Stegostoma tigrinum: one gene and its partners. The protein of the gene in region 1 binds, or shares a complex with, the protein of each later gene. Links are inferred from orthologs where the notes say so. Each region holds a gene or a part of one and is shown in the gene's direction. Other genes may lie near its edges.

The links.
Region 2: exosc8 (region 1) and exosc6 share a complex: the UniProt entries of both Homo sapiens proteins name them as parts of the RNA exosome core complex. The link is inferred for Stegostoma tigrinum from reciprocal best matches to the Homo sapiens genes EXOSC8 and EXOSC6.
Region 3: exosc8 (region 1) and exosc1 share a complex: the UniProt entries of both Homo sapiens proteins name them as parts of the RNA exosome core complex. The link is inferred for Stegostoma tigrinum from reciprocal best matches to the Homo sapiens genes EXOSC8 and EXOSC1.
Region 4: exosc8 (region 1) and exosc2 share a complex: the UniProt entries of both Homo sapiens proteins name them as parts of the RNA exosome core complex. The link is inferred for Stegostoma tigrinum from reciprocal best matches to the Homo sapiens genes EXOSC8 and EXOSC2.

Annotation. Positions count from the first base shown.
Region 1 is NC_081359.1:85,237,658-85,245,089, forward strand, and holds the start of exosc8 (exosome complex component RRP43), read left to right. Parts: upstream 1-4,419; 5' UTR 4,420-4,615; coding exon 4,616-4,632; intron 4,633-7,432. Other genes in the region: alg5 (dolichyl-phosphate beta-glucosyltransferase), read right to left, coding at 1,665-1,730. UniProt on the Homo sapiens protein: Non-catalytic component of the RNA exosome complex which has 3'->5' exoribonuclease activity and participates in a multitude of cellular RNA processing and degradation events.
Region 2 is NC_081369.1:4,854,562-4,862,307, reverse strand, and holds the start of exosc6 (exosome complex component MTR3), read left to right. Parts: upstream 1-4,730; 5' UTR 4,731-4,801; coding exon 4,802-5,100; intron 5,101-6,676; coding exon 6,677-7,208; 3' UTR 7,209-7,746. Other genes in the region: aars1 (alanine--tRNA ligase, cytoplasmic), read left to right, coding at 1,391-1,576. UniProt on the Homo sapiens protein: Non-catalytic component of the RNA exosome complex which has 3'->5' exoribonuclease activity and participates in a multitude of cellular RNA processing and degradation events.
Region 3 is NC_081373.1:12,450,485-12,458,161, reverse strand, and holds the start of exosc1 (exosome complex component CSL4), read left to right. Parts: upstream 1-4,658; 5' UTR 4,659-4,733; coding exon 4,734-4,923; intron 4,924-7,677. UniProt on the Homo sapiens protein: Non-catalytic component of the RNA exosome complex which has 3'->5' exoribonuclease activity and participates in a multitude of cellular RNA processing and degradation events.
Region 4 is NC_081382.1:41,692,223-41,699,134, reverse strand, and holds the start of exosc2 (exosome complex component RRP4), read left to right. Parts: upstream 1-3,899; 5' UTR 3,900-4,077; coding exon 4,078-4,193; intron 4,194-6,694; coding exon 6,695-6,796; intron 6,797-6,912. UniProt on the Homo sapiens protein: Non-catalytic component of the RNA exosome complex which has 3'->5' exoribonuclease activity and participates in a multitude of cellular RNA processing and degradation events.

The DNA of each region.
Region 1 (7,432 bases):
AAGCTGATAATTGCCCTGTATCATTAATGGTGATTTTGAATCCACTCCAGCTGAAAGCTCTATTTACATCGCTGGTGACTATTCAGCATTCATTCTCATTTTAGGCCAAAATGGTGGCTCAGTTGTTAGCACTGCTGCCTCACAGCACTAGGAACCCAGGTTTGATTTCACCCTCAGGCAACTGTTTGTTTGGGGTTTGCACGTTCTGCATGGGTTTCCTCTGGGTGTTCTGCTTTCCTCCCACAGTCCAAAGATGTGCAGACTAGGTGGATTGGTCAGGCTAAATTGCCTGTAGGGTTCAGGGATGTGTAGACTGGGTGGAATGCTCAGAGGGTCAGTGTGGACTTCTTGGACCGAAGGGCCTGTTTCTGCACTGTAGGGATTCAATTATCATAATTTCAATGTCTCTATAAAATAATTTAGGTAAAAAAATCCTGAAGCTTCCTCCCCTAATAGTGCTATGCATCCTTCCCTTGGAAATTTACATTTTGGTAGGAATATGTTTCAGTATTTGGAAATATCCCCGTAGATGTTTGCAAGTCCTCTTCGATTGACCAATCCCCTAGTCAAATACCTCAGTTCACTTCAGCAAGCTGGGATGTCATACTCACACAATTGACTTTAAATTCAAAATACTAGCCTGAGATCCAATCCTCTCTCTTTCACACAGGATGTAAAACTTCAACCAGTTTGTGGTCACTGCTCCTACAGGAGGCATTCTCTTACACAATAGCTAATCCAACATAATATAAAAACAGAGTTCCCATTCTGAGAAAAGGTCATTGGACCTGAAATGTTAATTTTTTTTCTTCTTCAGATACTGCCAGACCAGCTGAGCCTTTCCAGCAACTTCTGTTTTTGTTCAAAAACAAAAGTTGCTGGAAAAGCTCAGCAGGTCTGGCAGCATCTGTGGAGGAGAAAACAGAGTTAACGTTTCGAGTCCAGTGACCCTTCCTCAGAACCATCAGTTACATGTTATTTTTTTTCCTTCTTCACAGATACTGCCAGACCTGTTGAGCTTTTCCAGCAACTTTCTTTTTGTTCGTGATATACAACATCTGCAGTTCTTTTGGTTTTTGTTGTGTTTTTGTTCTCTTGGCTGCTACAGCAGTAAGTTCTGGAACTAATCTCAAAAGCATTCTAGAAGCTCCTCATCCAGGATATTCTCGCCAGTGAGAGATAGTAGGACCTGCCGACGCTGGAGTCTGAAGTAACAAGGTGTGGAGCTGGATGAACACAGCAGGCCAGGCAGCAGAGGAACAGGAAGGCTGACATGCATTTCTGAAGAAGGGTCCAGACCGAAACATCAGCTTTCCTGCTCGGCCTGCTGTGTTCATCCAGCTCCACACTTTGTTATCTTGGATTCTCCAGCATCTGCAGTTCCCATTATCACTGATATTCGCCCCCACCCTCCCCCCACAGATACACAGATTATTGCTGGCTCTTTGTCGCAAGCTCCCGCTATTCCTTTTATATACTTTATTCCACATTGTGGTGACTCTGACAGGGCCTGTGGACCTCTCCCACTGGTACTTTTCTTTCCCCCAGTGCTTCTCATCTTCATTTATAACAATTCCACATCCTGATCCCCGGGAGATGTCTCTCGGCAACAAACAGCTGAAGCTGCCAGCAGAGGGGTGAATCGTCACAGGGAGCACACTCACCAGGAGCAAGACCGTGAGGGCGACACCGACTACTGCCTGCAGCACTTCGCCGGAATGGAGCTCCATGACCCGGGGTCGATAACCGCCAGCGGCTTCCACCCTAACAACCTCGCGAGCCTATGGCAGCGGGACACCGAAGCGGAAGCCAGCACCCCGCGGCCGGAATCGACGAGGGTGCTACAGGCAGCAAGAGGCTCCCAAACTCGACGGCTCTTCTCACTGTAGCGCCACCCCTGGCAGCTTGGTTCCAGCCTCCCAACCGCCCTCTCTGTGACAGGACTGGTCTGCCCCTTTGCATCCTTTTGTATCTCTCCCCTCTGACCTTAAACCCGTGCCCTCCTTTTAGGCTCCCATACCTTGGGCGAAGAGGTGAAGAAGTGAGCGGAGCAGGAGGAATCCATATGCAGCGCGGGTCTGTCGGTGTGATCGTTGCTGACCTTGGACTTCCCTTTTTCCCAGCTCCCTGTGTCCGTCCATTCCCCTAGGAAGCATCAACTCTATTTCAGATCCCCTGTGCCAGTCTCCTTTTTCCTTCTGCATCTGTTCCTCACCTCCCATTATTTCTGCTCGTAAGATAACAAGGTGTAGAGCTGGATGAACACAGCAGGCCAAGCAGCATCATAGGAGCAGGAAGGGGTGACGTTTCGGGTCGAGACCCTTCTTCAGATTAGTGTCGTCGACCCGAAACGTCAGCCTTTCTGCTCCTTTGATGCTGCTTGGCCTGCTGTGTTCATCCAGCTTCACACTTTATTATCCACACCCTGTTATCTTGGATTCTCCAGCATCTGCAATTCCTACTATTTCTGCTTGTAACTGGTGTCTTCCAGAGAGAAAACTGAGACAAAATATTTTTCTTTGCCATTTCCTCATTTCCCATGATATTTTTTCCTTCTTTGTTTCTAAGGGACCAAGAGCCAATATTTATTTTAAGTTAGTCTTCCTTTTTGCATATTTTTAAACACTCTTGTTATCTGTTTTAAGTTTTAAGTTCCAGACAACTGATATCCTCACGTTGCAGGCAACACCTGAGGATATGGATATATGGGTCACATTGGTATCTGCCAGCTCCCATATGCTGTAGCTACACTACATACGGTAATAAAATGCCCAGGAAGGTACTCCTGATGAGTTGAAACTTTAAAGAACTGCTCAACTCGTTCCAAATGCTCTTAAATTGACATAAACAATATTCGGGCATCATCCACTCCACATGTTAATGCCAAAGTTATTCCCTCAAACAACAATGTAGTACCTGCATTTTTCACTTTGTAAGCTTGGATGTGTGGAATATTTGTTTACAAAGGGTATAGCTTTGTACTATTGTTATTTCATATAAGTGTCACCAACAATCCAGCATTTATTGTGTTTCCAAAGTTACCCTCGAAAAGGTGGTGACCAGATGTCACCTTAAACTGCTGCAGATCATGCAACCAGTACATCCACAAATCCGTTACAGAGGAACTTTCAGGATTTCATTCCAGCAACGGTGAAGGAAACATTGAGAATATTCCATCACACCCCTGACTTGAGGCTGACGAATGGTGGACTGGCCTGAGGATTTGGTGGATACTTTACTGCAAAATTCCAAGGCTCTGATCTGCTCTTGTAGCAAAATATGTAGAGTTCAGTTTCTGGTCAATGGTAAGCCAAAATAATAGTGAGATCCAATGACCGTAACACCAACATTCTTGGTTAGCAACTCAAACAACAATATTAATAAGAGTTAGATGTGTGGAATGTTTGTTTATAAATGGTATTGCTTTATACATTTTAAAATTTGTTTATTGCCTTAAACAGTCAATCCTTCCATCACTGTCACACAGTGGCAGCAGCGTTTATGTGACGCACTGCTACAATTTGCCAAGGTTCCATCAACTGTACTTTCAAAACCTGCAACATCCATCTCCTAGAGCAGGCAGCCAAAAGAGGCTGGGGTCGACAGCAGAAGCAGGTGGCGAGGGGTGAGAATGGGTGTTCAGAGCCGGGGGCGGGGGTCAAGCCATTGTGGGGAGTGTGAGTCCAGCATGGCCAGGTACTTGTGGACCGTGGTGTTGAACTGTTAACATGTTTCTTTGTTTCCTCATCCCTTTTTAGCATGAAGAACTGCAATGTTTAACTTTATAACTTTGTTTTTCATATTTTTCTGCTTTATACCCAAGAGTTGGTACCTTTGTACGTTTGTACCTAAAATGGTGCTTTATGTGGATACTTGTAAATTTTTCATTGTACTCATGAGAGTAATGTGACAAAAACCTAATTCAATTCAATTCATGTCCGATTTCAAATGATATCATGCAGTCACCAGGGACCAACTCCACTTTGACCATATGTGGGAGGAATGGTATTTGATAAAAGTTGCTAAAGGTAGTTGGGCTCAGGACACTACCTGAAGAAGTCCTGTAGAGATATCTTGGGACTGAGATGATTTGTCAGCATTACCTGTAACACTTTTAGCGCAATTCATGACTACATTTGGAGAATTCTTCGTGAGTTATATTACCACCGACTCTTTAAAATATTAGGTATTATAAAATATACATTATAAAGGATATATTATAAATTTATATTTTTAGAAATAATACAATGTATAATTTAATCATAATTAGATATGCAGTATATTTTAAAAGCCAATGAGATGTATACAGACTGGTGAATGCGAGCTGTAAGACATTGTTTCCTGAAGATGCGGATTGCAGCTGTCAATCATCATGCTGCACCAACCAGCCACATGGCTTTCATTTCCGTTCTGCACATTCCACACTAAACTAAAAATAAGAAAATAAACCCCATGAAAGGGATTGGCCGTAGACAGAGCGGGGATTACAGGAGTCGAAGCAGGGAAAAATACAGCGTAGTCCAATGAGGGAAAGAGGCTCACAACCGTTCCGGCCTCTCCGCGGAATCTGCGAATCCAGTTCCCAGGTTCACATGGTTCAGAGAGACCGAGAAGGATGGCGGCTGGATTCAAGTGAGTGAGAGACAGGGAGAGAGAGACACACACAGAAACAGAAAAAAAAAACAAACAATCAATCAATCAATCAATCAATCAATGGGGGGAGGGGGGAAGACAGAGAGAGACAATGGGGGGAGAGGGAAAGAGAGACAATGGAGGGGGAGAGAAAGAGACGGACGGGGGGGAAAGAGAGAGAGACAATGGGGGGGGGGAGAAGAGAGAGAGACAATGGGGGGGGGAGAAGAGAGAGAGACAATGGGGGGGGAGAAGAGAGAGAGACAATGGGGGGGGGGAGAAGAGAGAGAGAGAGACAGACAATGGGGGGGAGAGAGTGAGAGATAATGGGGGGGAGAGAGCGAGAGACAATGGGGGGGAGAGAGCGAGAGACAATGGGGGGGGAGAGAGCGAGAGACAATGGGGGGAGAGAGCGAGAGACAATGGGGGGGAGAGAGCGAGAGACAATGGTGGGGGGAGAGTGAGAGACAATGGGGGGGAGAGAGCGAGAGACAATGGTGTGGGGAGAGTGAGAGACAATGGGGGGAGAGAGTGAGAGACAATGGGGGGGAGAGAGAGAGACAATGGGGGGAGAGAGAGAGACAATGGGGGGGAGAGAGTGAGAGACAATGGGGGGGAGAGTGAGAGACAATGGGGGGGAGTGTGAGAGACAATGGGGGGGAGAGTGAGAGACAATGGGGGGAGAGAGAGAGAGAATGGGGGGGAGAGTGAGAGACCACAGGGGGTAGAGAGAGAGAGACAATGGGGGGGGAGAGTGAGAGACAATGGGGGGGGAGAGTGAGAGACAATGGGGGGGAGAGAGTGAGAGACAATAGGGGGTAGAGAGAGAGAGACAACGGGGGGAGAGAGAGAAAGAGAGACAACGGGGGGAGAGAGAAACGATTGGGGGGAAGAGAGACAATGGGGGTAGAGAGAAAGAGAGATGGGGGGAGAGAGAGAGAGAGAGACAAAGGAGGGGAGAGAGAGAGAGAGAGACAATGGGGGGGAGAGAGAGAGAGAGAGAGACAATGGGGGGGAGAGAGAGAGAGAGACAGACAATGGGGGGGAGAGAGAGAGAGAGACAGACAATGGGGGGAGAGAGAGAGAGACAGACAATGGGGGGAGAGAGAGAGAGACAGACAATGGGGGGAGAGAGAGAGAGACAGACAATGGGGGGAGAGAGAGAGAGACAGACAATGGGGGGAGAGAGAGAGAGACAGACAATGGGGGGGAGAGAGAGACAGACAATGGGGGGGAGAGAGTGAGAGACAATGGGGGGAGAGAGAGAGAGAATGGGGGGGAGAGAGAGAGAGAGAGACAATAGGGGGAGAGAGACACAATGGGGGAGAGACGGAGAGAGAGACACAATGGGGGAGAGAGAGAGACAATGGGGGGGGAGAGAGAGAGACAATGGGGGGAGAGAGAGACAATGGGGGGAGAGAGAGAGAGAATGGGGGGGAGAGAGAGAGAGAGAGACAATAGGGGGAGAGAGACACAATGGGGGAGAGACGGAGAGAGAGACACAATGGGGGAGAGAGAGAGACAATGGGGGGGGAGAGAGAGAGACAATGGGGGGAGAGAGAGACAATGGGGGGAGAGAGAGAGACAATGGGGGGAGAGAGAGACAATGGGGGGAGAGAGAGACAATGGGGGGAGAGAGAGACAATGGGGGAGAGAGAGACAATGGGGGAGAGAGAGACAATGGGGGGAGAGAGAGAGAGAGAGACAATGGGGGGGGAGAGAGAGAGAGAATGGGGGAGAGAGAGAGAGAGACAATGGGGGGGGAGAGAGAGAGAGAATGGGGGAGAGAGAGAGAGAGAGACAATGGGGGGGGAGAGAGAGAGAGAATGGGGAGAGAGAGAGAGAGAGACAATGGGGGGGTGAGAGAGACAATGGGGGGAGAGAGAGAGAGAGACAATGGGGGAGAGAGAGACAATGGGGGGAGAGAGAGAGAGAGAGAGAGACAATGGGGGAGAGAGAGAGAGAGACAATGGGGGGGAGAGAGAGAGAGAGACAATAGGGGGAGAGAGAGAGAGACAATGGGGGAGAGAGAGAGAGAGACAATGGGGAGAGAGAGAGACAATGGGGGGAGAGAGAGAGAATGGGGGGAGAGAGAGAGAGAATGGGGGGAGAGAGAGAGAGAATGGGGGGAGAGAGAGAGAGAATGGGGGGAGAGAGAGAGAATGGGGGGAGAGAGAGAGAGAATGGGGGGAGAGAGAGAGAGAATGGGGGGAGAGAGAGAGAGAATGGGGGGAGAGAGAGAGAGAATGGGGGGAGAGAGAGAGAGAATGGGGGGAGAGAGAGAGAGAGAATGGGGGAGAGAGAGAGAGACGATGGGGGGAGAGAGAGAGAGAGACAATGGGGGGAGAGAGAAAGAATGGGGGGGAGAGAGAGAGAATGGGGGGGAGAGAGAGAGAATGGGGGGGAGCGAGAGAGAGACAATGGGGGGGAGAGAGAGAGAGAGAGAGAGAGAGAGAGACAATGGGGGGGAGAGAGAGACAATGGGGGGGAGAGAGAGAGAGACAATGGGGGGAGAGAGAGAGAGAGACAATGGGGGGAGAGAGAGAGAGAGACAATGGGGGGGAGAGAGAGAGAGAGAGAATGGGGGGGGGAGAGAGAGAGAGAGAATGGGGGAGAGAGAGAGAGAGAGAATGGGGGGGAGAGAGAGAGTGAGAGAGAATGGTGGGGAGAGAGAGAGAATGGGGGGGAGAGAGAGAGAGAATGGTGGGGAGAGAGAGAGAATGGGGGGGAGAGAGAGAGAGAATGGGGGGGAGAGAGAGAGAATGGGGGGAGAGAGAGAGAGAGAGAGAGAGACAATGGT
Region 2 (7,746 bases), on another chromosome or scaffold:
TAATAGTACATTCTATTCTGTCATCCAAGTCATTAAAATATAATTGTAAATAATTGTGGCCCCAGCAGTGAAACCTTTGGCAGTCCACTAGTTACAAGTTAACATCTCAAAATTGTCCCCTTAATTACAGCTGTTTGTCTTCTGTGAGTTAGCCAGTCATGTATCAATGCTATTACACTACCCACAACCCCATGAGCCCTGATCAAGCAGCTCTGTGTGACGCTCATTATTGAGTGCCTTTTGGAAACCTAAACATATTACATTTACTGGTTCCCCTTTAACTACCCTACTTGTTAACCTCTTCACAGAATTCTAATAGAGTTGCCAGCAGTTGCCCTGCTGACTCTACTTGATAGATTCTAACATTTTCCTGGTTAGAGACACTATTCTAACTTTCTTAAAGTTACTTTTTTCTCATCTCCCTTTTTAAACAATGGTGTCACTTTCCAATCCTCTGGGACTTTTCCAGAATAAAGATTGTTATTAGATTACTACCAAGGCATCTACTATCTCTGATTACTTCCCTCACATCTTAAGGTACAACCCAAAGGATTTATTGGCTTCCATCACATTGTTTTCCCTAGTAGTTTATTTTTCTCTTTTTTTATTCTTCTTTTATTCTTCCCTCAGCCTTTGAACGTTTAATAATTGAGGACGTCAGTGTTAAGAAGAGAAACGCAGAGAGGTTTAGGGCAAGCATTGCAATGTTACAGCAGATGAAGGCATGACTGCCAGTGATGGAAGTGACCAACGATAGGGAGGCCAGGACTGGAGGAATGAGATGAACTTGGCTCAGTGTCTGGGTGTTTGAGAGCAACGATTCATTGTTTGACAATATTGTTAATCTCCACTTGAAGGCTGTGGCAGTAATGATTCTGTGCCCCTTGATACTTCATCGCAGGAGTTACTCCTCATCCTTCAGTGAGTTTCAGTAGACTGATCCACCATGAGGTTTGTAACATTCAAGCCCAGTCTGGTCATCATCTGCCCTGCACCCGTTCTCTGTACGTGACCCAACAGGGACCAATGATCAGCCGTCAAAGACAGAGTTTAACCTTTGTTGATCATAAGGAGCTGATTTCAGTTGTTGCATCCCAGCTACGTGTTTCCTGAGACCCTGGTAATATAGGACTTAGGAATTGGTGTAGGCCTTTCAGTCTTGCTGTGCCATTCACTGGCTGTTATGACATCTGCAGCATATCAGGTATTGAACCTGTGATGTATAAGTCTCAGTCCCTCACTGTGCCACTTTTACAGTCAGGCCAGTGGGGGAGGCATCGCCTCAAAGTCCGAACATTGTACGTTGTGGAAAGCCCATCTTAAAAGCAGCAGGGTTACTGAATTTTCATTTTGCACTATTTCTCCCTTTTTCATTACAAACCTTTTTCAGGAGGTGGTGAGCAGGGGCCTGAAAGCCAGTGACTGGGTCAACCATATCTTGGACCTGCTGGACGGAAGAGGAGGAGGAAAGGACGTGTCAGCCCAGGCCACTGGGAAAAACGTCAACAGCCTTGACAAGGCGCTAAAGCTGGCAACCGAGTTCGCTGAGCTGAAAATAGGAGACCTCAAAAACTAATCACAAACGTTGCAGTTAATGTCACTTGAAAGACCGTCCATGGGGCCGGGACTCTTCTGCTGCAGGGGTTTAGGACCACTACTGCTGAGAGGTGGTGAGGGAGGGGGTTGTCACATTCTCCTCCATGTTAATGTTAAAAGCGTGAACTTCTGTCTCACTAAGTCAGTAGAACAGCTTAGCAATCGATCATCTCTAAAATCTTCAAACTGTTGCAATAAGGGACTGGCTGTAAGAAAATCTGTTAGCCTATTTAAAACGGCTCTAATTCATTAAAAGGATTTGCACCCGTAAGCTTAAAATAATACTGGTGTTGTACTGGTTACAGATTTGGAGTATGCTATTTATTTTCAGATTCAGATCAATTGTCTCTTGTTCGCTGCCTCATGATGATGCTGTCATTACCTAGTCATATGTAACCATTGTTCAAGACAGTGTAAACAATAAAACCTCTTCATTACGTGAACGAGACATTGCAATCATGTTTTTGACTCTTGGACTTCTGTAATCTCCTTAGCTGTCGATTGATTCACATCCTGGTGAAACACAACCAATTCCCATTATCTCTGATCACCAATTAGAAGTTGATTTATTCAACGTTATGTGTGAACATAAATACGAACACTTATTGTAAATCCCACCCATTTTCAACTTTAGTCACTAACTCTCCTTCAAATATAAAAAAACCCCAAAGATTCACACTGTCCCTGTTGGAAGTTGATTTTCACTTCATTGATGAGTTCTTCCTTCAAACCTGGTCAGACTGGTCTACAGGGGTCTAACCACTATAAAATCAGAATAATGGAAATATGCAGCAGTTTACAAAACACGTGGAGAGAGAAACTATTAATGTTTCACATCACACACAGCAGATGATCATCATTCCTTTGACTTTCTACTTGATTTGCTCAGTACTTGCAGCATTTTTTGTGTTATTTTCAGATTTACTTCTGCAGAAATGATTTCTGTTGTCTAACATTGAAGTCATACATAAGTGGTACCATTTTATGAACTATTTTGTCTTACACATCTCCCAGTATTTCCGTCCAGTGGATTTAACCCCAAGCAAGCAAAACGTGACAGTAGCGTTTTAATATAAACGATTCCAGTGGTTCATTAGACAAAGTTTTGAATTCCAACACATGATAGTCATTCAGTTAATATCCAGTTCACTCTTTACTGTTTCTAACTGTTCCAATGTTCTGTCATTGCTATGACCAGCAACACAGCAGTGGCAACACTCTGATGTTGTGGGTCATGTTGGAACCAATAATGTAGACAAAAGTTGAGGTCCTATCAAAGATATCCTGGAGTTAGGAGATTAAAGAATAAGACCTCAATAGTGGTAATCTGTATTACATTTAGTAGAACAGAGAGGTGAGACAGGCTAACTTGTGGATGGTGAAATTGGGCTGGAGGGCAAGGCTTCAGAATTTGAGGTGTTGGGGCCACAGGACAGTCAACCTTGATTCTGATGTTTCACCCAATATTGGATATAATAGTAAATGGAGAGGAGGGTTACTGAAACCTTCAGGATGCCACAGACCGGTGAAATAAACAAGACACTGGGAAGATGAAATTTTAATGCTCCCAGTGTGAGCCTGAGCAGACAACTCTTTGAAGTGGACAGGAATATTCCAAAAACCTGCTTTTGAAAAAAAATACATAAAATCTTGGTGGTGTCCTTTGGTGCTTCACAAATTGATGGAGGACTCCCCAAGAACAGATGGTAAGCTTATCCCTGCTGGTTCTAGACATTTTGCGATAGGAAATAATTTTTCTGCATGTATTTATATTAACAAGTTGTCCCTCAGTAGCTTCATCTTTTAATTAGACAACGGGAGGAAATTCTCTGAATGGGAGGCAAAGGTGGGAAGCAATTGCCGATGTTGGTTTGAGTAAATCCAGGGAATTATTTGTGGATAAGAACAGGAATTTGATTTCCAGATATTGGGGTACGAGGAACAAATTGTTGAGGATTTATGATGAGAAAGTTGGAACAGAAACGGACAATGTTGTGGATGTGAAATCAAGGACCTTGTTATCGAAGGGGATTGAAGCTCAACTCTAGATCAAGAACAATGCTGAAATTATTCTCAAACTGGAGGCGATAAATGGAATCCGTGGCAAATGTTACTTAACGTTCAGCAAGAACTAAAAGAGGACATCACTCTTCCAACGTTGGGAAAAATTCCTGAGTTGTACATGACCTTAGATTGGCAGGCCATTTGACAGCACCAAGGTGGTGGAAAAGAGAGAATCTTGGACCCTCTTCCTCCTCATCACTCATACTCGAGGATGATGCCAATAAAAAATTACATGTAAATGAAGAAAGGGTGCATCCCAAAGGAGACACCATTGTATACAGTACAGGTTAAAGGTAAAGTTGCCATAGTCCTACCAGGCCATAGGATTGCTCAATTGTTGGTGTTTTAAGCTTGAGGGTCACCATGCCTGAGGTGTGTAGAATGGTTGAGAAGGGGTCCTTTGTTGTAACCTCAACCAGCATAGGATTGAATCCACACTGTTGGTATCGCTCTATCACAAACCAGCCGTCGAGCCCAAGTGAGATTAGTAACCAGATAACTACAGGGTCGCACAGTGGTTAGCATTTCTGGCTCACAGCAGCAGAGCCATCGGTTCGATTCCAGCCTTGGGTGACTGCCTGTATGCACTTTGCGTGTTCTCCCTATGTCCCCATGTTTAATAACCAGCTAATCTTTTTCAGCGATTCATATTGACCGGGACTTTGGGCAACATGCCCCGACTCTTGCTTCTGCGTTTCCTACTGCCACCTTAAAGAACAAATAGCTCTGAAGGGCCAGTGTTAAATTGCGTTCAAATCTCAGGATTACAGCTTGGTACATGTGGCAATAATAAATCAAATTACTCCCCTAGCAAGGCTCTGCTTGTCACACACTGCTGCATTGGTTTTTTCCCCCCTGGTGGTGGAATATTGATAAATTTGGCTACAGAACCCATGTTTTTCGATGCGACCTGCACGCACAGACGACTCAAACCAAATCATTGCAATCTGGAAGAGAACTTGCACACTTTGCTGAAAGCCGGTAGGGGGTGGTATGGAGCATGAGGGCCTGCGGATGGTCCTCCCGGACTGCAGGGGGCGGTGTTGGGGGAGGGCAGTAGGTGGGAGCATCTTACGACGGGCGCTGCCTCGTTGTGCGCGGCCTGGTCGAGGCTCCGGAGCTTGGAGCGAGTCGGTACCAGATGCCGGTCGACACCAAGCGAGTCCGGGGCCCGGAGGAGTCGCAGTCGCCGCTGCTGTTTGTGGCGGGAGATGCGGCTCCGAGCACGGTGCCGGGGCGGGCCCGGGTTCGGGCTGATGGGCGGTCGGCGGCTGAGCCGAGGCCGGTGTTTGCTCGGGCCGGCCTGGTGAGTCAGGCGGACGGCTCGGTGTACGTCGAGTGCGGCCTCACCAAGGTGCTGTGCGCCGTTTACGGGCCCCGGGAGAGCGACAGGAAGGAGGAGCGGCGCCTGAGCGGGGCGACCCTGGGCTGCGAGTTCAGGTAGGGGCCGGGGCCGGGGGCGGGAAGGGTCTTAAAGCACCAACACCAACCCCCCGTGAAACCAAGGGCAAGCGGAGATGATGTAGAGACCCCTGGTGCTCGGAGTAAAGTCTCCTGTGATTTTGGAAAGGTGGGCGTGTAGGTTATCAGTGTGTGTCAGGTCAGCTCTGACTGGGGAGAGGGGAGGGTTCCCAGTCCTATCCCTGGCTGCTGGATTTAGTGAAGTGAATTGTGGAAACACAGGCTGATCCTGTGACTTGAAGCTGGAAGGATGGTGGGGAAATGTGTTGATCGTCAACAGAAGAAGCACAGCGCATTCCAGATCACAGCAGCTCACAAATAATGAACCTGGTCCTCAACCCAGCTCCGATTCCTGGTGGAGCTGCTGGCGTTGGGCTGGAGTGAACAAAGGTGGAATGGCAATGTAGACAGTGGGTGCCTACCTCCGCTCAGCTCGCAACAAACAACTGCACCTCCCAGTTGCAAACCATTTCCACTCCCCCTCCCATTCTTTAGATGACATGTCCATCATGGGCCTCCTGCACTGCCACACTGATGCCACCCGAAGGTTGCAGGAACAGCAACTCATATTCCGCCTGGGAACCCTGCAGCCCAATGGTATCAATGTGGACTTCACCAGCTTCAAAATCTCCCCTTCCCCTACTGCATCCCTAAACCAACCCAGTTCGTCCCCTCCCCCCACTGCACCACACAACCAGCCCAGCTCTTCCCCCCCACCCACTGCATCCCAAAACCAGTCCAACCTGTCTCTGCCTCCCAAACCGGTTCTTCCTCTCACCCATCCCTTCCTCCCACCCCAAGCCGCACCCGCAGCTACCTACTAACCTCATCCCACCTCCTTGACCTGTCCGTCTTCCCTGGACTGACCTATCCCCTCCCTACCTCCCCACCTACACTCTCTCCACCTATCTTCTTTACTCTCCATCTTCGGTCCGCCTCCCCCTCTCTCCCTATTTATTCCAGTTCCCTCTCTCCATCCCCCTCTCTGATGAAGGGTCTAGGCCCGAAACGTCAGCTTTTGTGCTCCTGAGATGCTGCTTGGCCTGCTGTGTTCATCCAGCCTCACATTTTATTATCTTGGAATTCTCCAGCATCTGCAGTTCCCATTATCCCTAGACAGTGGGTGTCACTGGCAAGGTAAGAATTAGTTGCCCATCCCTAATTGCTCGTAAAACGGTGGATTGCCTGACCATTCAGAGGGCAGTTAAGAATTGGCCACACTTTTGTAGTCTGGATAGCCTCAATTTTAATTTATTAACATTCCATTCCCTGTGATCCTTGGTTTGTAGCTGATACTCCAACCTGAGCCATTTACTTGGCAGTTTTTGTCACTCTTTGCTGCTGACTTTCATTCTCAGGTTTAGGACGACAAAGTCAATCCCAAACCTACCTCAGATGGAACAGAAATTGAACCTGCGCTGTTGGACATTTCTCTGAACCACCTCACCGACATTTAACCAACTGTGCTAACCTATTCCTCTTTTGAAATATCACGTGAATGAATTCATAGGATTGTTTTTCTTCCCTACCACGCCCCCCCCCCCCACCCTTGTAGATTTGCCCCATTCTCTTGCAGGAAGAGAGCTGCCTGGATTCAGGGCACCTTGGAGAAGGAGTATTCTTTGATCATGGAACAGAGCTTGCAGCCAGCTATCTGCCTCCACAAGTACCCCAGGTCCCAGATCGAAGTGTACGTGATGGTTCTGGAGAATGATGGCTCCACCTTAGCAGCTGCGCTGACTTGTGCTTCCATAGCACTGGCAGAAGCAGGCATCGAGATGTTTGACGTGGTGGTGGGCTGCTCTTTGAGGCAGTGTGGAGCTGTCTCCCTTCTGGATCCAACAGCAGCTGAGGAGTACAGTGCAGCCTGCTCGCAGGCCGTAAACAATGGCAGCTTGACTGTGGCTCTGCTGCCCACACTCAATCAAATCTCCGGGCTGGTCTCGAAAGGAGAGTGGGAGGAGCAGACATCAGTAGAAGCAATCAAGGCTTGTATTGAGGGATGTCAGAAGCTCTACTCTGTAGTCCAACAGTGTCTGACCAAATCAGTCAAGAGGAAAATCCCACAGCTTGTCAGTAAAGATTAGATGAACTTTTGTTCTTGGACATTCCAGTAAATGCTTTCTTGAAAAATAAATGTTTTTTTACTGTTCCATTTACTACATTTTATACAAGTTGCAGAATATCCTTTGTTAACATTTAACTAAAATTGAACCACCACACGGTATTGGATTGAAGTGTGAGGTTCAGCTCTGTCTATGCTGAGTTGCCTGATCTGTGGTGCTGCTGAAGTTCAGCTTCAGTGCAGGAAGGTATAATTGGGCCAGGGTTCCTGGAGCTGATTGTCCAGTCTCTCCTGTTGGATGTGTGGGACGCTGGGCCTCAATTCCCTGCTGTCTGGTCTTGAGCAGTCTGGGTGGAGTTGTGCTGCAGTAAAACTTGATCTCTGGGTGAAGTAGAGAGAATAAATGCAATTCAAGCTAAAGTGGTATGGGACTTTGCCCTCGCTGCTTATTTTTTGCCCTGCCACAGTATTTATTTCAGTACTTCCTCACTGAGCAGATTTCAACTCTGAGGGCCTAAGGATTACACAGTGCAGTCTGTCTGGGATCAATCAAGTATTTA
Region 3 (7,677 bases), on another chromosome or scaffold:
CTTGGACTAAACATACTGATCTAGGAAATTCTCCTGATCGCAATCTAAGAACTTCTGTGCCTCACTACCCTTTATGCAAATAGGTCCTTTTCTGAATGAATAATGGGGGCCACAGAGCTTTGGACTAGGACACCAGCTATTCACAATACCAGTTAATAATTTAGATGAGGCAATTAAATGTAAAATCTCAAAATGTATAGGTGACACATAACTGGGTGAAAATGTGACCCACGAGGAGGATGCAAAAATGTTGCAGTATGATTTTGAAAGGCTGAGTGACTGGGCAAATGCAACATAGTGTGGGTAAATGTGAGGCTACCTACTTTGGCAGTAAGTATATAAAAGCACATTATTACTTGAATGGCTGTAAATTGAGAGAGGGAAATATTCAACGAAATCTGTATATCTTTGTGTACCAGTTGCCTAAGTAAGTGTGCAAGCGCAGGAAAGAAGACAAAATATATTTGGCCTTCACAATGAGAGAATTCAAATACAGGAACAAGAATATCTTGCTGCAATTATACAGGGCATTGGTGAGTCCATACCTGGAATATTGTGTTCAGTTTTGGTCTTCTTTTCTGAGGAAGAATGTTCATGCTATAGAGGGAGCAGGAATGGTTTACCAAACTGATTCCTTGGATGGCAAGGTGATGCATGTGGAGAGATTAAATCAGTTAGGTCGTATTCACTTTGGTTGAGAACAATGAGGGGATTTCTCATACACACCTATAAAATTCTAATGGAATTAGTTGGGTTTAATGCAGGATGTTCCTGATGGTAGGGGGTCCATAACTAGGGGTCATCATTTAGGAATAAGGTGTAACACTTTTAGGACTGAAATAAAGAGAAATTTCTTCACCCAAAGAGAAAGGCACCTGTGGATTTCACTACCCCCAGAAGGTGATTGAGGAAAACATTTCAAGGAGATAGATAGAATTTTTGTGGCTGAAGAAATCAAGTGATATCAGGAGACAGGAAGAATAGGGTATTGAGCTTGATGAATGGTGGAGCAAGCTCAAGGGCTCGAATGGCCTACTCCTGCTCCTACTTTCTATGTTTCTAGTCCAACCATTAAAGGTAATTAAAGTCCCCCATAATGGCTATTCAACTATGCTTATACATTTCTGCAATGTCCTTGCAGATTTTTCTCTCTCGAGATTTTTAAGCCATTTGCCAGGGTTGGAGAGTTTGAGCTGTAGGGAGAGCTGAATGGACAGGGGCTTTTTCCTCTGGAGCATTGGAGGCTGAGGTGTGGCCTTATGGAGATTTATAAAATCATGAGGGCAATGGACAGGGTAAATAGACAAGGTCTTTTCCTTGGGGTGGGAGGAGTCCAAAACTAGAGGGCATAGCTTTAAGGTGAGAGGGGAAAGATTTAAAAGGGACCTCATGGGAAACTTTTTTATGCAGAGGGTACTGCATGTATGGAATGAGCTGCCAGAGGAAGTGGTACAATTACCACATTTAAATCTATCTGGATGGGTATATGAATTGGAAGGGTTTACAGGGATGTGAGCCAAATGCTGGCAAATGAGACTAGATATATTTAGGATATCTTGTCAGCATGGATGAGTAGGACCGCAGGGCCTGCTTCAGTGCTGTATATCTCTATGACTCTAGATCCTTCCCACTAGTTAGTGGTCTACGGCTCACAGCGGGCAACGTAACTGCACTCTTCTTATTCTTTAGTTCCACCTGAATCAATTCCATCCCTGAACATTCTGAAATGTCCTCCTTCTCCTATATTGCAAGACTCTCCTTAAGAAAAAGACTCCATATTCCCTTATTTTTAAATATTTTCAATCTTTTTGTATACCTTGTAACCAAGAACATTTAGCACCCAGACCATCCCTTTCTAGAAATAATGGATGCATTGATGGCATCTTCCAGGATTCTTCAAACTCTGGAACAGTCCCTGCAGATTGCAGGGGAGCCATAGGTCACTCCAGTAATCAAAAAGGGAGGTAGAGAAGAAAACAGGAAATTATAGATCAGGAAGCCTAACATCTATAGTGGGGAAAATTCTCAAATCCATTATTAAGGACTTTATAGCAGAGCATTTAGAAAGCAGTAGCAGAATTGGACAGAGTCAGTATAGATTTATGAAAGGGAAGTCATGCAAATCTGTTGAAATTCTATGAAGATGTAACTAGTAGGGTTGACAAGGTGGGGGGCAGTCAATGTTGTATGTTTAAGATTAATGTGCACGGGATTGGCAGAAGTGTATTAAGATGGATAGAAAACAGGTTGACAGAGAGGAAACAAACAGTAGGAATTAATGAGATAATGGGAACTGCAGATGCTGGAGGATCTGAGAGAACAAAGTGTGGAGCTGGATGAACACAGTATGCCAAGCAGCATCTTAGGAGCACAAAAGCTTTTACGTTTCGGGCCTAGACCCTTCATCAGAAAAGGGGATGGGGAGAGGGTTCTGAAATAAATGGGGAGAGAGGGGGAGGCGATTGAAGATGGATAGAGGAGAAGATAGGTTGGCAGGCAGTAACTAGCTGGGTGTTGCAGGGATTAGTGCTGGGATCCCAGCTATTCACAATATATATTAATGATTTGGATAAAGGAACAAAATGTAATATCTCCAAGTTTGCAGACGATACCAAGTTGGGTGGGAGGGTGAACTGTGAGGAGGATGCAGAGATCCTCCAGCATGATCTGGACAAGTTCGGTGAGTGGGCAAATGAATGGAAAATGCAGAATAATTTGAATAAATGTGAGGTTGTTCACTTTGGATGTAAAAACAAGAAGGCAGATTACTACCTAAATGGCTGAAAATTGAGAGGGGAGTGTGCAGCAGGACCTGGGTGTCCTTGTGCATCTTGTCACTGAAGACAAGCATGCAAGTGCAGCAGATTGTAAAGAAGGCAAATGGGAAGTTGGCCTTCGTTGAAAGAGGTTTCAAGTACAGGAGCAGGGATGTGTTGTTGCAGTTATACTGGGCCTTGGTGAGGCCACAACTAGAATATTGTGTGCAGTTTTGGTCGCCGATTCTGAGGAAGGATGCTCTCGCTCTCGAGGAATACAGCAAAGGTTTACCAAGCTGATTCTGGGGATGTTGGGTCTGATATATGAGGAGAGATTGACTAAGTTATGATTATTTTCACTGGAGTTCAGATGAATGAAGAGGGATCTCAATAGAGACTAATAAAATTCTAACAGGACTTGACAGGGTAGAAGCAGGGACAATGCTCCTGATGGTGGGTGTGTCCAGATCCAGGGGTTACAGTCTTGATTTGAGGTAGACCATTGAGGACAGAGATGAGGAGACATTTCTACACCCAAAGAGTGGTGAGCGTGTGGAATTCATTACCACAGGAAATAGCCAATGCTAAAATATTTAAGGTATTCAAGAGGCAGGTAAATATAGCACTTGGGGCGAATGGGATCATAGGTTATGGAGAGAAAGCAGGATTAGGCGATCAGTTGAATGATCAACCATGATCGTGATGGATGGCAGAGCAAGCTCGAAGGGCTGAATGGGTTCCTCCTTTTCCTATCTTCTATGTTTCCTTGAGCCAGATCTCCAATATTTTACTTTCACAATCTACCATGGAAATATGTGCCTGTAACTTCCCAATCTTATTCACCATACTCAGTCCATGCACGTACATGCAGAGCAACCCTAATTTACGGTTCACTACCATCTCCATTATGTTGACTCCACATATTACTTCTATTCTCACACAATCTGCCTCCCCCAGCATCTTTTTGTACTCTGCCATTTCCTTCTAACGTTCTCTGCTGGTTCCCACTCCCCTGCGTAAACCCTTCAAGCAGTCAGGATCCTTCTTCGGAACTGCTCTGAAGAAGGGTCCCAACCCAAAATGTCGACTTTCCTACTCCTCTGGTGCTACCTGACATGTCGTGGGCCTCCAGTTCCATACTGTGTTGACTCTGACACCAGCATCTGCAGATCTTGGGATCTTTTTGCCTGTCTCCCTAAGACTGCCATAGCCACTGCGAGCACTGAAACCTGGAGCTCAAGCTTGCAGTGGCCCCACTTCCTCCACATGGGCTCATCAAGGTCATTTAGAATGTCCACACATGCAACAGCATGCATATTCCACTTGGCTGATCTGTCCTGCCATAATCTTAACCTATACTTTTAAGAAATTTTACTTGCTAAAACTTTAGTTTCCTTCTTTTAACTTTACTTTGATACTATTGACTTTAAAATAGAGATGAGTAAACAAAAAACAATTCTTTGCCCTTAATCATAAATCCCCTCTCCAGCGCCTGTTAATTCTTACTTTCCCTGTGCTAGTTTAGATACATTTTTTTCAAACTCGAATTGAAATGAATTTTCAGCTACTCAACAATATTAACCTCAGGACTTTCCTATGATATTGCTCAGAGGTTTACGTCCCGCCAGCCCACACTGTTTTATCTGGTGCTGGATGGAAATGAAACAGTACGGGGACCAATGTGAACTGTATTAAACTTTGACAAATAAAGCAATAGACACAAATGGAGATGAACATCATAGTCAGCTGAGAGTTTCGTTGTTTTCTCTCAGACGAGGAGCAGCCAGGGAGAGACAGAGAGGTCAGTACTGGAGGGTTGTGACGGGGGGGATGAGGAGGGAAGGCCTCGGGGCCGGGGAATTCAGGGAGACGAGATTGAAGACCCGAGGGCAGGATCCCGACCCGGGTTAGGGACGGGAGTATGGAGGAGATCCTGAACCAAGCCCAGAGAGAACAGGATAAAAGCCGGAGAGAGCCATGAGGCGAAGAGATTTGATGTCGCGAATCCGTCCCGGCCCTAGCAACCAACCTCAGCCAATCCGCTCGTCCTTTACTACCAGTGTCCGCGCGAGCCAATCCGTTCGCCCCTTACTACGAGGGTCTGCGACAGCGTGTTCTCCCCGGTTCTGTGAAGCTGTGATGGCGCCGCTGAAGCTCTGCATCCCAGGTACCGGCAGACTTCAAGAGCGGAGCAGGGATGGGATGTGTAAGAAGTAGGAACAGAGTAGGCCTTTCGACCTCTCGAGCTTGCTTCGCCGTTCGTAAGGATCGTGGCTGATCCCACACACCTCCTGTCTACTTGCCTGCTCTATTCCCATAATGATCCTTTCCCTACTAATCAAAAGTCTATCTGTCTCAACCTTAAATATACACCGTTTTTACTGTGGATTGAGAAATGGACGTTAGTGAACTCAGGGAAATAAATGTTGATCTTTTGAAAACAGTTCACATTACAGATGAGGAAGTGCTGTAGGTCCTAGAAAACGTAAATGTGGATAAGCCTTCGGGATCTGATCAAGCGTATCCCAGAACGTTGTAGGAAGTTGAGGAGGAAATTGTGGGCTCCCTAGCAGAAATATTTGTCTCATGTATAACCACAGGTGAGGTGCCTGAGGAGTGGGGGGAGGTTAACGTTTTGCCGTTATTTAAGAAAGGCTGCAAGGAAAAGCCAGGAAATTATAGACCCGTGTTTGAGACCAGTAAGTTGTTAGAGGTGATTCTGAAAAGTAGGATTTACATGCATTTGCAGAGGTAGTGAATGATCAGGAAGAGTGAGCATAGCTTTGTGCAAGGGAAATCACATCTCACAAACTTGATTTTTTTTGAGGAAGTAATCAGAAAGATTAATCAAGGAAGAGCAGTAGACATTGTTTACTTTGACTTTAGTAAGGCCTTTGATATGATTCCACATGGTAAACTAATCAGTAAAGTTGAATCACATGGAATTCAGGGTGTACTTGCCAATTGGATACAAAATTGAACGTAGGAAATGGACAGTGGTGTGGAGGGTTGTTTTTTTGGTCTGGATGCTTGTGATCACGGGTTCGACAGGGATTGGTACTGGGTCCACTTTTGTTTGACATTTGTATAAATGATTTGGGTGAGAATATAGGAGGCATGGTTAGTAAGTTAGTGGATGGCACCAAAATTAGTGGCATAATGGACAGAGGAAAAGGTTATCTAAGATTACAAAGAGATCTTGATCAATTGGGCCAATGGGCTGAGGAGTGACAGATGTAGTTTAATTTGGATAACTGCAAGGTATTGCATTTTAGTAAAACAAACAAGGGCAAGACTTATTCAATTAATGGTAGGGCTCCTGGGTAGTGCTGTAGAACAAGGAGACCTTGGGATTCAGGTATATAATTCTTTGAAATTTGCATCACAGGTATACAGGATAGTTAAGGGACAAAGGTAAGGTGAATAGCAAAGTTGTTTTCCCTAGTGTGGAGGATTTTAAAATTAGGGAGCATATTTTTGAGGTGAGAGGAGAAAGTTTTAAAAAGAACGTGAGGGGCAGCTTAATTCACAGAGTTGTTTGTGTGTGAAATGAAGTGCCAGAGGATGTAAGATAACAAAATTTGGGGCTGGATGAACACAGCAGGCCAAGCAGCATCTTAGGAGCACAAAAGCTGACATTTTGGGCCTAGACCTGCAGATATAGTTACAACATTGAAAAGACATTTGGATAAGATTAAGAAAAGTTCAGAGAGTTAAGGGCCAAGTACATGCAGGTGGGTCTAGTTTAGTTTGGGAACATGGTCAATGTGGACTGGTTAGACTGAAGGGTCTCTTGCCATGCTGCATGACTGTGACTAGGACTCTGCCCCCACAGCTGTTTATGGCAGGGAATTCCAAAGACACTCAACCCTCTACTAAAAGAAATTTCTCCTTGTCTCAGTCTTAAATTGGTGCCTCTTTATCCTGTGACTATGCTTTCTCATCCTAGACTCATGAGGGAAAACATCCAGTTGGCATTTACCATGTCAAGCTACGTAAGAATCCTATTATTGTGTCTTCCAGTAAGATTATGCAAGAGAAGGGCTTCTGAGCCCAGGGTTCATCCACACCGTCTGCTTTCCCATTTTTTTTGTCTTCTTTCTCTCTCTTTTGTTTCTTTTTTACTCTTTAGTTTTATCTTATTTCCCTTTTGCTGAAGAGCTTGGGCTCAGTAACAGCATTGCTGACGGGTTGGCCCAGCAGTATGGACTGATGGCAGCAATGTTGGAGGCGAGTTTGTGTTCCCGCATCTTGTGCATTGTGGAGGCGCTCCTAGTGCTGATTCATGACTGCTGCGGCAGAGGTGAATTGGGCCCAGCATGAGACCTGACGGCAGCAGCTGCATGTTGAGGTGGGTCGACGCAGACTCAAGGTGGCAGCTGAGTCAAGTTCAGGTCAATGCATAAAGGGAGGCATTGGTGGCATCCTTATTGGCAAGGCCCAGTTAGGATTCATCTTGGCAGTGCCATTGCTGGAGGTGAAATGGTGCCAAAGAGTGGCGTCGTTTGGTGCAGCAGTGGCAGCACGGTGAAGGAGGTGCCTGGTCACCAGGCCCATGGCCCATGTTAAAGCACTTAACAAGAAGGACTATAAATTAGACAATATAGTGTGGAGCTGGAGGAACACAGCAGGTCAAGCAGCTCAAAGGAGAGTTTTCTGAAGAAAGGTTCTGACCCAAAATGTCACCTTTCCTGCTCCCCGTTGCTCCCTGGCCTGCTGTGTTCCTCCAACTCCACACTGTGTTGCCTTTGACTCCAGCATCTGCAGTTCTTGCTATCTCCTTGTAAGTTAGACACTTTTTGTTCTCATTTTTCTGCCTTTATATTCTATGGTTTGGTTTTTTATTTGTTTTAAGATGCTCCCAGAGAGTGGTGCCACTTTTCAATGTATTTTTGTAACAAGTTACATGTGACAATAAATC
Region 4 (6,912 bases), on another chromosome or scaffold:
CCAGTTTCAAAATCTCCCCTTCCCCTACTGCATCCCTAAACCAGCCCAGTTCATCCCCTCCCCCCACTGCACCACACAACCAGCCCAGCTCTTCCCCCCCCACCCACTGCATCCCAAAACCAGTCCAACCTGTCTCTGCCTCCCTAACCTGTTCTTCCTCTCACCCATCCCTTCCTCCCACCCCAAGCCGCACCTCCATCTCCTACCTACTAACCTCATCCCACCTCCTTGACCTGTCCGTCTTCCCTGGACTGACCTATCCCCTCCCTACCTCCCCACCTACACTCTCTCCACCTATCTTCTTTACTCTCCATCTTCGGTCCGCCTCCCCCTCTCTCCCTATTTATTCCAGTTCCCTCTCCCCATCCCCCTCTCTGATGAAGGGTCTAGGCCCGAAACGTCAGCTTTTGTGCTCCTGAGATGCTGCTTGGCCTGCTGTGTTCATCCAGCCTCACATTTTATTGCCTTTACATTGTTGCTTTGCAAACAGTGGAGAAGAAGAGATTCCTCTCCACACACTATCAGGGTTTGTTTGCAAAGCAAGTTTAGCTAGCAACAGATTATTTATTCAGACCAGTTGAGGTCACCAGTTTAACAATGCTCTGTGATTGGATCCTGGGCAACTGAACAGTTGCCATGTGTGTAGTGGACAAGGTCAGAAGGCTCTGTCTTCATATCTCTGCAGTAAAATCATTCTAGTTATTTTCTTCCAAAAGTTGCAATGATTTGTTGCTTTTAACCAATAATACAAAGACTGTATCAATTGCCTGTGCCTCCTGCCACAAAGTGAAAGAAACTGAAAAAAGACCAGGCAGTAGACGGTATCTGGAAGAAAAAGGTTCACCTTACTGAGTCTTGTGAACTCGTGCTTTTTGAACTCTGCTTGTCTGTCGGATCTTTCCTCTGTGTTTAACATCAATTTTTTTGGGGGTCTGGCGACTGTTTTCTGTTGGCTTGAATCTGTCAGTCAGGTAAGTTGGGAACTGTACAGACTTTGATTAAATCTTTTCATGATGCCCTAAGGAATAGAGAGGCTCAAGCATCAGCACACTGTCCCAAGTGGGATGTAACACTTAATACACTATGTATCCTTAACTCAGTCACTAACTACATGGTTTAGAAGACACTTGGGGCATCCTGAGATTGTGCTATATAAATTAACATTTTAAAATATATACAGATGTATGGAAAAAGGGCTTTTGAATAGATAATCGTTTGCTAGCACAGATAATATTCCCATTTATATTTACATAAAAATACAAATTATGAGTTGTCATAGGCCATTCAGGCTGAGGGCCTAAATGATCTTCTCCTGTTCCTAGTTCATATGTATAAATGGGCCATACTGTCCGTAACATTGGAAGCAATGTAATGCCTGAAAGTATGATGGAAGCAGATTCAGTTGAGACATTCAAGAGACCATTGGATGATTATTTGGTTAGGAATAACTTGCAAGAATAGGCAAAAGAGCAGAAGATTGACATTAGGTAATAATATGCACTCGAGCTTGCATAGACACGATGGGCTGAATAGCCTCCACCTATGCCATTTGTGTTTTTTTGGCCAAACATTAATCCTCTTAAATGTTTGTCTGAGCTAACTAGTAACAATACTGTGTCAGGGAGATAGAATAACGGAAATAATTGTAATCTTACATACAAAATATACATACATTTGTCAACAGTAAATCATTGTAGCCTTGTTAATTGTGTCAGAAATCAATTACGAAAGGTATTTTGTAATATTAGGATTGAGTATCAATAAAGGATATTGCTGGAAAAGAGAAGCTTTTTGGATGTTTTTCAAATTGTCATCTTAGTCTTTTCCTCTATTCTTTGTGTAATAAACTTAAATTCTTTTTATCAAAGATACAATGGCAACCACTGGTGACTGACCACCATAGTAACAGAATTGTGAAAATAAGAAATGCAAACAGAAATTGCTAGAGAAATTCAGCAAGTCTTGCAGCAAAGTGTTGAGCTGGATGAACACAGCAGGCCAAGCAGCATTTCAGGAGCACAAAAGCTGACCTCGACCCTTCATCAGAAAAGGGGAATGGGGAGAGGGTTCTGAGATAAATAGGGAGAGAGGGGGAGGTGGACCGAAGGTGGATAGAGGTGAAGATAGGTGGAGAGGAGGCAGACAAATTAAAGGGGTGGGGATGGAGCCTGTAGAGGTGAGTATAGGTTGCAGCATCTTTGGGCAGGAAGCAGAGTTAACATTTTGAGAAGATTTGTAGCTCAGGTTGAGGTTCTGGATGTGAGTTTGCTCGCTGAGCTGGAAGGTTAGTTTTTCAGACGTTTCGTCACTATTCTAGGTAACATCATCAGTGAGCCTCTGATGAAGCGCTGGTGTTATGTCCCGCTTTCTATTTATCTGGTTAGGCTTCCTTGGGTTGGTGAATTAACGTTTTGGATCCAGTCACTGCCAGACCCGGTGAGTTTCTCCAGCAATTTCTGTTTGTGTTTCTGTTATCCAGCATCTGGAATTTTTTTTGAAAATGCGACATGGTCTATCAAGACAGATGTTACTCTGGAATTTGACTTGTCCAGTATTACCATGAACTGGTGCCTAAGCAGGCAGTAATCTAGCCAAATGGTGATAGTGAGGGCAACCAACGAAAACCACTATCCTACCCCTTCTGTGTTGCCCATGGTTTCCTCTTGTATTGACAAGTCATCACCTCCTAAGCAGTGCATTCCAGGTGTCCCTTCCCATGTCACCTTTACTTTTGCCAGCTATTGATAAAAGTAGAGGCATATGTATTTCAAAATTTGAGAAACATGTTTTTAAGAAGCCATATTGTTTGTTTAGACCTGTGCAAGTATTAGTGAAATAATATTCAGCCTTACTAGAAGTATGGTTTGGGACAGCATGGTGGCTCAACAGTTAGCATTATTACTTCACAAGTGCCAGGGACCCAAGTTCAATTCCAGCCCTTTGGGTGGCTCGTGTGTGGAGTTTGTGTCAGATGCTCCAGGTTGTTCCTACAGATCAAAGATTTGCAGCTTTAGGTGGACTGGCCATGTTTAACGTGGGGCGAACAAGGATAGGGTGGGCTGCTCTGCGGGTCGTTGCAGATTCATAGGGTCATAGTTCGTGCGATGGGCCGAATGGCCTCTTTCAGCGTTGTTGGGATTCTACGAAATAAGATTGACCAACAATAGATCCAGAACTAGTAAATCACTACGTGTGCTTTCATATTATTTAGTTATAGTTTAAGTTTGACAGTGTTTAAAATTTGTTTTGGGTTTAACTTTGGACTCAAAATGGCGGCACCCACCATTTCCAGAGACGGACATCGAGTTAACCAGAACCTTGTAAAACGCGTAAAAATACTGGCAACAATATGGTAACTATCTGATTTGTTACGTTGAAGAGCTAATTGATTCACCACACAACATCATAGAAAAGCGCGGGTCGATTCGTTATTAGGACGATATAACGGTGCAGAGACAGCCCGGAAACAAACATGGAGGCAAGGAGAAAGGAGCCAAACATCTGCCAATAACAAAGATGGTGACAGTTTCAGTCTGCCAGTAAGAAACATGGCGATAATCAATCACCACCCCCCCCAATCCCCAAAGACTTGTCGAATGCCTGTGTTAAAAATGGCGGAAGTAGAGCTGGCGTGTCTTGCCAGTGTTAAAGATGGCAGTTAACAGCTCAAAACTGCGGATGATGGAAGACTGAAATAAAAATTTAAAGGATTCTGTTAATCGGGGCTTGCAGCAGCTCTACAGTGATTGAGTTCAGTAAATGTGGTAAAAGCTGGATTTTGCAAACAATGCGAGAAATATTTGAGAGGTTTGACGAACACATGGAAGTGAAATGTTAATTCTGTGTATCTTTTCATGTTTCTTTTTTTGTTTATATCCGACTTTCAGCATCAGGTATTCAGTAACGTAGGATTCGCCGACGTGAAAGATATCGATGTGGTCATAACCACGGAAGGCTATTTGCCAATATTGAAGATGGCGGCTGCAATGATATTTGGCAGCTGATGCCCGTTCGCCATATCAAAGATGGCGGCAGTGGTTATAGGTGGCCGCCGCAGGCTGTACGCCAGTAACAAAGATGGCGGTGGACATTCGGTTACCGACGGCGCGAAAGCGTGTCTCTTTACCGGCTGAGGTCGGTAAACATCTGGTATCACCGGGAGACACCATCACCACCGACACCGGTTTCATGAGGTAAAACTAACACAAAAATGGGAGAACTTTTATATTTTAAATCAGGACGTTAACTCCAGAGGCAAGGAAATCCACGTGGGTAGACGGTGCGCATTCGGCCTATAAATTTAAATCTTTTTATCAACGGTCAGTGACTGAAACTCGTTCAAAGTCACATCTCCATAAATACTAGATGGTCGCCATCAGTGCAAACTCGATAGCCTGCATCGAAATGATCTTTGAGAAACCCAGCAGGCCTGTCAGCATCTCTGGAGATATGACCATTCGTTCAGAACATAAAATATTAATTCTGTTTTCTCTCTCAGCAGATGCTGTGAGACCTGCTGAGTTTCTCCAGCATTTTGCGTTTGTTCCAGATTTCCAATAGCTGCCTCATTCTTATTTACCACATCTGCCTCGTCTGTGTCTTAAAATAAGACTCTCCGCTGAATATACAAAAGGGAATGATAGTACTGGAAGCTTCCAAACAAGTATTAGAAAAGACAAAACAGAAGGTGAATCGTATTGGACTCAGTGTAACCTGTATAACCCTCTGCCAGGTTTCACCAGTTTTTATTTCAGATTTCCAACATTTGCAGTGGTTGCTAAAGCAATGTCATCCAGTGCCAGTCTCCTGCTTTTTCCCAATCTTGCATGTTATTTTATCTAAATAATTATTCAATGTTGTCTTAAGTGCATCAGCTGAACCATTCTCCACATTTCCAGTCTCTATGTTCCCTGTCCTGAGTATGCTCACTGAATTTTTTTTTTTCTTGACTTCCTTCTTGTTTCATTTGCAGGTTACTTTAAATTGATGCTCTCCTCTTCTTGTTCCTTTCAAAAGCAGAAACAGTTTCTCCCTATTTTACCCTCTTAAGCTTGTTCTTGATTTCAAAATCTCTATCAGATTGCATTTTAGCTGCCTTCTCTCTCTCTAAAACAGTTATAGCTTCACCAGTCTGTGCTCATTTACTGATATTCCTCATCGTCGGAAGCATTCTTGCAAGCCACTTATACGTTCTCTCCAATGTGTTCACATCTTTTCCTACATGTGGCAGCCAGAACTGTTCACAATACTCGAGCTGAGATCTAACAAGTGCCTTGTATACATTAACAGACAGACTTTAGAAAGAAGGCATAAAGATGACTTAGACTGGTGTCGTGCATATGGCTTTCTGCTTTCATTCTTCAAATCTGTGACTGTTTCATCACTAACTGGAACACAAAATAAATGCATTTATTAATAAAATAATTGGCACAGCAGCCAACACTTCTGTCTCTTGATGACAGGGATTCGGGTTCAATTTTAGCCTTGGGTGACTCTCTCTGGAGTTTGCATGTTTTGCTCTGTGGCTTTCTGTTGGGTGCTCCAGTTTCGTCCCACAGTCCAAAACTGTACAAGTTCGGTGGATTGACTAAATTACCCCACGGTGTCCGTGGATGTGCAGACTACGTGGATCAGCCATGATTCATACAACATTACAGGATAGGATGGGGAGGGCAGTGGGAATGCTGTTCAGAGGGTCAGTGTGGATTCTATGGGGCAAATGGCTTCTTTCCATCCTGTGGTGATTCTAGGAAACTTTAGGTTGGGGTGTTTTGAACCATCAGCAATCGAGGCTGGTAAATCTGCTGCCACAGCCGTACGACAACTTCAAAAGGGAATTTCCAATTGGGCTGTTTCGCAAGTATGCGCAATCTCGTAATGCTGGTGACATGCTTTTAACATATGTTGATTTTTGATAGTGTGCTCAAGTTTATCTTTGAAATAAAGATTTTCTTTCCCTTTAGAATTGCTATATTAGGAGATATGGGGAGGAAAATAGCCACCACATGTCTTTATGGTGTTTGTGCTCTGATTCTTACTTGCACTCTACCTGCCAGTTTTGAATGCAGTGTTTGGAGACTTGGCTCAAGGCCAGCCTCCTGTAACCTTCCTTTTCAAGTAATCCTGCTTGTTTCAACAAATCTATTAAGGTGAATTTTTATGCACTGCCCGTTTGCCAGCATTGCACATTTTAGTTCTTATTGACCCCATGCAACACTCAGTTGCTGAAGTACATCAGTTTTTTTTTGTGAAAACAACCAATGAATAAAACCAAGTCCTTCACTTTGCATCCCAACTGTATTGCCACAACTCCATCTTTTTAGTGTAACATAATACTGAGAGCATCAATTCGCCACATGGCAAGTGACAGATGTATTGGAAACTGTGGCCAATAAAGCTTATGAAACAGGTTCATTGGGATAGGGTGAAGACTTCCTAAGTGGACATGATCTTCAAAATTAAGACCAAGGCCTTGGAAATTAGGAAACATAAATACAGCAGAAGGTTGGCCAGCTAATAGCTCTAAATCTGAGATTGATTTATTCTATTCAAAAGATACAGTGGTGAGAGAAATAGACAAAAGTTCACATTCAGCACCGAACTCTCTCTTTGAAGAGTTGTAGGTTTCCATTAGCCTGCCTTGAGTGGGTAACTTTTGTGTATCCTAATACAGTATATATTATGTCTGTTCCAGAGGCCATGGTACCTATATGGAAGATGAGAAGCTAATTGCGTCAGTTGCTGGAGCTGTGGAAAGAGTGAACAAGTTGATATGTGTCAAACCACTTCAAACCAGGCATGTCCTTAACACTTACTGTCTGTGCATTTGGTCATCGAACAATGAGTAAATTTTATAGAAATGGTTTGATTCCATTTCATAACCAGTAGTTGTATTAAGGTTTGAAACAAGGT